Saccharomyces cerevisiae S288C: one gene and its partner. Each later gene encodes a partner of the first gene's protein in a complex. Each region holds a gene or a part of one and is shown on either strand. Other genes may lie near its edges. The genes, in order: SPT6 and SPN1. A codon is read from its position in the direction of its gene.

Region 1 (3,600 bases):
TTTGATGCTGGGAACTGATATTTTCACCAACATCCTCAGCTGATATACCAATATCACTAACCGCTTGATAAAGAGGACTAGCTTTAAATTTTTCATAACTGGAATTTTTCAAATGTTTCTTACCAGTCTTTCCAGTGTGGTTTATAAACATTTCATTGATTTCGTTGGCATATTTGAATTCTAGGTAGTCATAAATATCCTGTAGAGAATTCAGTTCCGCAATAGATGCAGTATTCTGATTTTTGAAGTATTCAGTGACAATAGGATCATCGATATGTAATTCTGCATAAAATCTCTGGACATAATCCTTTTTGTTCACAAGACTGTGAAATTCGATGTCAAGGCTAACTATATCCCAAAGGTCATCTTCAGTCAAAAGAAACCCATCTTTTTCTCTTGAGGAAATATAGTTACGACGGTAAGCATATATAAAAGGGACTTCCAAGTTTTCTTTGGTGATAAATTTGATTGCGTTCCCAATTGCTTCTTTAAATTCAGTGAGATCATAATTGGCATCGAAGTTCTTATCCACAGAAATTTTTTCTGCTATCCAGTTTCTTTCTAATTCTTGATCCTCCGATGACATATTTCCGTAGTCAGTAATACCTGCTCTTAATTCTTGATATCTTTCTGGAATATCTGTCTTTCTAATTTTCATGTCTCCTTCAGTCATCAAGTTTTTTTTCAAATCCTCTAAATCATAAATGTCTTGTAGAGATATCTTTTTCTTGGTGCTTTTTATAGCACCAGTTTCTTCATCGATCTCTTCTTCTTCAGCTTCATTGTTGTCGTTACCATTTTCTAGTTCTTCATTTTCAATTTCTAAAGCCCAATCGTAGTCATGACCATCACCAAAAATGTCATACATCTCGTCAATCTTATCCGACGATAGACCAGTAATCTGTGTAGGTTGTTTGATGGATTGTTCTCTTAAAAGCTTCTTTTCTTGGATCCTCCTTTGTCTGGTTTCGTCGTCCTCATCAGAAAATTCATCATCTTCAATGAAATCATCCAATTCGTCCAAGATTCCACCTTTGTCAGCTGTTCTGTTCCTATTTTCATGGTCTTCTTCATCACGCCCATATTCATTGTTCCTACCGTTGCGTAAACCAGATTCTTCTTCTTCTTCATCTTCAGAAAAGAAATCTTCCAATTTAGACGTAGAATCTTGCCTTGATGCAGCGACGTTGTCACTTTCTGATTCTGCAGCGTTTCCTTCATCTCCTACTCTCTTTAATCTTTTAAATTTTCCTGAAGAGGAGCTCGCTTTGGTACGTTCAACACCAGCATTCTCCATTAACAAATCCAAATCATCTTCGGATAGTCGATCATCTTCTTCTCTTTCTCTTCTTTTATGTTTTCTTCTTTTTTTGGAAATACTTGTTCCTGGGTCTTCATTTTCATCATCATCGTTGACAATGAAGCCTTCTTGCACTTTTCTTGCCTCATCTTCGTCTTCATCAATATCTTCGTCTTCCTCAGAGGAGTCAAAGACATCTTCTCCTTCTTCTTCCTCACTAGGCGCTTTAGTTTCATCGTTGTCATTTACTATTTCTTCCTCGTCCCTAGGGACCAGCTTCGAATCTCCCGTCTCTTCCATAAAAGGCAAATTCTATGTAAAGATTCTAGGCAATTAATGACCTGTTCGCTTGGGTTATTCTTCAAAGCACAAATCAATATCTTTCTTCCTCCTTTTGCTTTAACCGTTGTCCAGTTTCTTGTCAATTTGGTTTGCCATACATAACGAAAAAAAAATGACAGTTATAGAAAATATTACCCGAATTTTCCCGCACTTTTATTGAAGACGTTATATAAAGGGGTACTAACTAATTTAAAAATCATTCATGACTCGCATAGTGGCACAGTAATAGCCTCGACCGCCTGTCCGTATCTTCTTTTATATAGATATATCATGTTTCGTTGTAATGCGGGTTGTGCCCATGCACTGCTGATATGTGTACTGCCTTCCTCCCTATTGCTATAAAGAATCAGTCAGCTCATCAAATATTCTTCTTATCCATAACTCACGCATGCTAGCGATATATTTTGTGAGGAGGATAATTCTTTGGTTGGGTTGGGCGTAGTCATCTGAAGGGGGGCCTTGTATTTATTTTTTTTTCAGTTTTCTTTGCAACAGAATGTCTGCTTTCTGTGGGTTTCCTTTCAGCACGTCCTGAGAACATTGAATTTCTGTTCTTCGTAACGGGCCCATTGACCACTCTTGCAGCACCACTTCCGAGTGATATTCGATTATTTGGATGCAGATCTCCCAAATTAACAACATTGTCGTTTTCGATGGGTAAATCAGCGCCGGAAGCAATGCTATTTCTGATTGTATGTAAGATGGACTTTCTTCTCAGTTTACTGTTGGTATTATTATTCAAACGCGTGGTTTTAGTCACGTGACCTTGAGATGATTTGGACATACCGATATTTGTTGGATTTAGAACAAAAGAAGCTTCACTACTAGTATCGTCTTCATAGTCCTCCTCATTCTCTACTTGTAAGTTGTTGCCTATCTTGGAGGGCTTCCTCTTGTCTCTGTTGTCATATGACCTGTATTTTCTTACTTGTGAGGAGGGAAATAGCGGCTGGTTAAACTGTTTGTTCTGAGATGCCTTGGCCAAATCATTTTCACCTTGTTCGTCTTTTTTTCTTTTAATCCCGCGTTCCATATTGGAGAGTTCCATTACTAAGTTATTTTTCTCATCTTCCAACGATTTCAATTGTTTAATAGCGATCAAATCGTCTTGAATATCATGAGGCGCCTGTGAGAATTCTACGCACCATGAATTGCTCATAATACCGTACAACAACGAACCTAGGGATTCATTAAGATCAGCTAAACTCTCGTGGATAAAATTTAAGCGCGTGAAATTGGAATCTAAAGTAATGATTGAATCGCTCAGTTCTCTTATTTTAGGCAACAGAAGCTGTTGTATGGTATTCTCGTTATATTCGCCAACGGAACTCGTTAATCCCTCTTGATCAGCAAATTTCATCAGGGATGAGGATTCACCCATAGACGACCTTCTTGAAGTCGGAGCGCTACCAATGGATAAACGATATTCCGTGGCAGACCTTGTGGTCCCTAATTTAGCTTTATCTTCGCTCATAGGTGAAAGTGGCAATACAAGCCTTTTCTGATATTGTTTTGGTGCAATTGCTGAGCTTATACGCTCCAAGTTTCAGTGCAATTGGACAAGTTTAACGCCAAAGGATTCATGCGTCGATAAAACATGTTTGTTTTGGCTATTATTTATCGATATTGTCCGGGCAACGCGCAATGTTCATATCTTGAGCGGCACATAAGGTATATGGATAAAAAGGTGTTAGTTATGTACAAGTTTAAATTATGTAAATGTGCCATATCCGAATCATTGTAGTTGCAAAACTAATGTGGAAAACCGTTTAGGCAGTGCTCGTGAAATTACGCGCTTCTTGGATAGAGTTCGATAGTATGGGCAGAGGAGTTTGCCGTTTACATATATTTCCTTGAATGCTTCAGTTTCTCTTTCATTAGTTGGTCTTGGGACACAACGCCCCCTCTTTTCGCCTTCCTAAGAGCCACAATGAGGAAGATTGTGCTCAAAAACGAAA
Region 2 (3,884 bases), on another chromosome or scaffold:
AGGTGAGATTCTTTCAAGTATCAGGCAAACTACGATTTCACCTAATGAATATCACAAGACGTTTTGAATAATTTTCTGAAGCAATTATGAAACATTATGAAGATATATACGAATATGGATAAGCCTTGTACCTGTGATTTTACACTCAAATTGGACATAAGTAGTACATGAAGAGGATGATTAATTCATCCTTTAACGCGCTTGTTCGAAAATCCTTTGAAACCATGTAATAATATATCCAGATTTTCGGCTGACTTCTCATCAATGTTCATCATCGTCGTTTCGTCGTCTTCTAGACCATTTAACCAAAATTTCATACTCATTGGTAGAGAAGAATATGTGTGGTACAGCGACGGTTCAAAGTGAATTATATTTGGTCCGTATTGGCCGTCTTTCATCCCGACTGATGGTGTAGAATGTTCATCGACCAAAACATCATAATTCCTTCGGCACTGTTCTTCCTCTAACCTGAAAAACTCTTCACTAGATATGTCCACGCCTTCACCTTCTGTAGTGCTAACGTAACGTACCGGCCTCTCAGCAAACAAAAGGTTGCTGTCCCGTTGGAGTTGAAGGAAAGGAGAATCATGCACTTCTACTTTCCCATTCCATCTATCTAGCAGACTTGAATATTTCTGTTCCAGGTTATCATTTTTCTCTTCGTTCGTTTGGACACTAGTCATCGTGGTTAGAGTGGGTTCCTCACCCTTCGTATTCATTATGAGAGCTTTTAAATTAAATAAAACCGTAGCCAGCTTACGAATATCAGATGAAGCCAGTACCAAGTCTAATTTCGGTCTTGTTCTCTGAAATGTGCCATTATTTACTGCGAAAGTCGGCCTTGCATACTTAATATTGGAGAATGTACTCAATTCTGCAGTTATTCGGTTATTCCAATATAGTTCCTTCGGTGGGTATACTGTTTGATAGAATAATTTTAACTCCACAAGTATGCAGTTTTTTCGAAGAAAGTTAACTTCAGGTAAACCCATATGTGCACTGATTTTCTCTTTTCCTTGGTTATGCGTAATAAAGGATTATTTTGTATCGCAACCTTCAATTAAGGTTATCACATTTTAATAATAAAAGCTGGTAAAAAAAGCCGAAAAATCTGCCTGGACAAACATACAGAATACGCATATATACAAGCGAAGAAAGGAGATTTAGGCTCATTAGAGCAGTATCAATTTTTTAAAAAATATTTACACGTCTTTCTCTAAACTATATAAGGTGGGGGGCGCAAATTGACCATTATTTAATCAAAAGCAAATACAAAAAGAGAAACATATTTTAGTGTCATTCATAGATGCAATCTTTTTTCTTCAGTGGGGAATTATTTCCATTGCTTTTTCACCAAATGCCAGATCATTGGGGAAACCCAAAGAAACGCAGCCACATAAGCGGCCTGTTTCAAGGTTTTCTCAGTTTGTTCTTGATGAGCTCTTTTCTCCTCTTCGGAGACTTCCTGTTGAGGTAGACCAAACATTTTATACTATCTAGTTATTTGATGCCAATGGACGCCTTTTGTGGGAAACTGCAATTCGCTAATATTGGTGTAACGCCTCTAGAAAGAAAGAGTAAACTTTCGAATTCATTTCTTGATTTTATGATGTGCGGTATTCTTCCAAAGAAGGGTAACAAGAAGGTTTTTTTCTCTCACAATTTCTTTGAAGGGAAGTTTTGGAAGAGTTAACTGTCAGCTTCATTGCCCAGCATCTTTGTTTGATAGCACTTGTAAAGTATATGCAGGCCATATCAAGGGAGTTTATTGTCCTCTGAAGTATATATAGAGGAACTTTTAGTAATAAAAGGCAAAAACATATCAATTAGCAATGAGTACAGCCGATCAAGAACAACCCAAAGTGGTGGAAGCGACACCAGAAGATGGGACAGCTTCCTCCCAAAAGTCAACTATAAACGCTGAGAATGAAAATACAAAACAAAATCAAAGTATGGAACCCCAAGAAACTTCAAAAGGTACCTCCAATGATACTAAAGACCCAGATAACGGAGAAAAGAACGAGGAAGCCGCAATAGACGAAAATAGTAACGTAGAAGCTGCAGAAAGGAAACGTAAGCACATTAGCACAGATTTCTCAGATGACGACCTAGAAAAGGAGGAGCATAATGATCAGAGTCTTCAACCAACGGTGGAAAATAGGGCTAGTAAAGATAGAGATTCAAGTGCTACTCCAAGTAGTAGACAGGAATTGGAAGAAAAACTGGACCGTATATTGAAAAAACCAAAGGTTAGAAGAACGAGGAGGGATGAAGACGATTTAGAACAGTACTTGGATGAAAAAATTCTAAGGCTTAAAGACGAAATGAATATTGCAGCACAGTTGGACATCGATACTTTAAATAAGAGAATAGAAACTGGAGATACTTCGCTGATTGCCATGCAGAAGGTCAAATTGTTGCCGAAGGTGGTAAGCGTACTGTCAAAGGCAAACTTGGCAGACACCATTTTGGATAATAACTTACTTCAAAGTGTCAGAATATGGTTGGAACCCTTACCTGATGGGTCTCTGCCATCTTTTGAGATTCAAAAGTCACTCTTTGCAGCTTTAAACGATCTACCAGTGAAAACTGAACACCTGAAGGAGAGTGGTTTGGGGAGAGTAGTTATCTTTTATACAAAGTCCAAGCGTGTCGAAGCTCAACTAGCTAGGTTGGCTGAAAAATTAATTGCGGAGTGGACAAGACCTATTATTGGTGCTTCAGATAACTACAGAGATAAGAGAATAATGCAATTAGAGTTTGATTCTGAAAAATTGAGAAAGAAATCCGTTATGGATTCTGCCAAAAATAGGAAAAAGAAATCTAAGTCTGGTGAAGATCCTACCTCTCGTGGTTCTTCGGTACAAACCTTGTACGAACAAGCTGCTGCAAGGAGAAACAGGGCTGCCGCACCAGCACAAACCACTACTGATTACAAGTATGCTCCTGTGAGTAACCTTAGCGCAGTACCTACAAACGCAAGAGCAGTTGGTGTTGGTTCCACTTTAAACAATAGTGAGATGTACAAGAGGTTGACTTCAAGATTAAACAAGAAGCATAAATAATAACAAAACAGGTAATTCCGTAATGCTTTGAGATATGTATCATATGTATGTGTTTTTTGTTTAAGAAATTCGAAATAACACTAGGTGGTTTTATTAAGAGGATTATTAAATAAGCTTGATGTTTGATGATTTTGAAGAATTATTTAATCTCTTAAACATATACATACACAGTAGAATTTTTCGAATTATGAAATCGTAATATAACTCTGCTTAAGATCTTGGCTTTTCCTTCTTTTCCTTCCACAAAGCCAACAAGGAGACACCAGAGACCTTAACGACCTTGAATCTAACACCTGGAATATCACCCTTAGCCTTACCCTTTCTACCGAAACCGGCTAGCAAGACTTCGTCATTTTCATCGACAAAGTTCAAACAACCATCGTTTGGAACGAAAGCAGTAACCTTCTTACCGTTCTTGATTAATTGAACTCTAACACACTTTCTGATAGCAGAGTTAGGTTGCTTGGATTCGATACCCAACTTTTCCAAGACAATACCCTTGGCGTGAGAAGAACCACCGAATGGAGAAGACTTGAAGGCAGTACCCAATAATCTCTTCTTATAGTTGTTTTCGGCCCAACGGCTGTTTTAAACGATTAACTTTTGACAAAACATAGTTTCATCAAAAAGATTAATAAATTTGTTAGTAAATGAGGTTCTCGTAGTGAATTCATTATCTGAGATGGCAGAAATTCATTGTAGATTTTCAGTTTCATCACTTGTGGACTTTCTTATTCAAAATTCGCAAAATGGCCTTTCTCCTCCTAAAAGCTGATGAATTCAAATGGCTATAATAAATTAAGTAGCCCTACCCTAGTT

The links.
Region 2: the proteins of SPT6 (region 1) and SPN1 are in contact, whole or in part, in a crystal structure (PDB 3OAK), measured with the Saccharomyces cerevisiae proteins. Residues at the interface, in NP_011631.1 of Saccharomyces cerevisiae: Lys241 (codon at 880), Glu244 (codon at 871), Met245 (codon at 868), Asp247 (codon at 862), Ile248 (codon at 859), Phe249 (codon at 856), Gly250 (codon at 853), Gly252 (codon at 847), Asp254 (codon at 841), Tyr255 (codon at 838), Trp257 (codon at 832), Ala258 (codon at 829), Leu259 (codon at 826), Ile261 (codon at 820), Glu262 (codon at 817), Asn263 (codon at 814); in NP_015458.1 of Saccharomyces cerevisiae: Arg222 (codon at 2,496), Glu226 (codon at 2,508), Pro227 (codon at 2,511), Leu228 (codon at 2,514), Pro229 (codon at 2,517), Asp230 (codon at 2,520), Gly231 (codon at 2,523), Thr253 (codon at 2,589), Leu256 (codon at 2,598), Lys257 (codon at 2,601), Gly262 (codon at 2,616), Arg263 (codon at 2,619), Val264 (codon at 2,622), Ile266 (codon at 2,628), Phe267 (codon at 2,631), Lys270 (codon at 2,640), Ser271 (codon at 2,643), Lys272 (codon at 2,646), Arg273 (codon at 2,649), Ile286 (codon at 2,688), Trp289 (codon at 2,697), Thr290 (codon at 2,700), Arg291 (codon at 2,703), Pro292 (codon at 2,706).

What each region holds. Positions count from the first base shown.
Region 1 is NC_001139.9:718,409-722,008, reverse strand, and holds the start of SPT6 (chromatin-remodeling histone chaperone SPT6), read right to left. Parts: upstream 1,601-3,600; coding exon 1-1,600. Other genes in the region: DAM1 (Dam1p), read right to left, coding at 2,085-3,116; cytochrome oxidase assembly protein SHY1, read right to left, coding at 3,482-3,600. UniProt on the Saccharomyces cerevisiae protein: Histone H3-H4 chaperone that plays a role in maintenance of chromatin structure during RNA polymerase II transcription elongation thereby repressing transcription initiation from cryptic promoters.
Region 2 is NC_001148.4:795,159-799,042, reverse strand, and holds SPN1 (transcription factor SPN1), read left to right. Parts: upstream 1-1,832; coding exon 1,833-3,065; downstream 3,066-3,884. Other genes in the region: MSS18 (Mss18p), read right to left, coding at 186-992; TOM5 (Tom5p), read right to left, coding at 1,334-1,486; 40S ribosomal protein uS12 RPS23B, read right to left, coding at 3,276-3,648. UniProt on the Saccharomyces cerevisiae protein: Transcription factor involved in RNA polymerase II transcription regulation. May function in both SPT15/TBP post-recruitment and recruitment steps of transcription.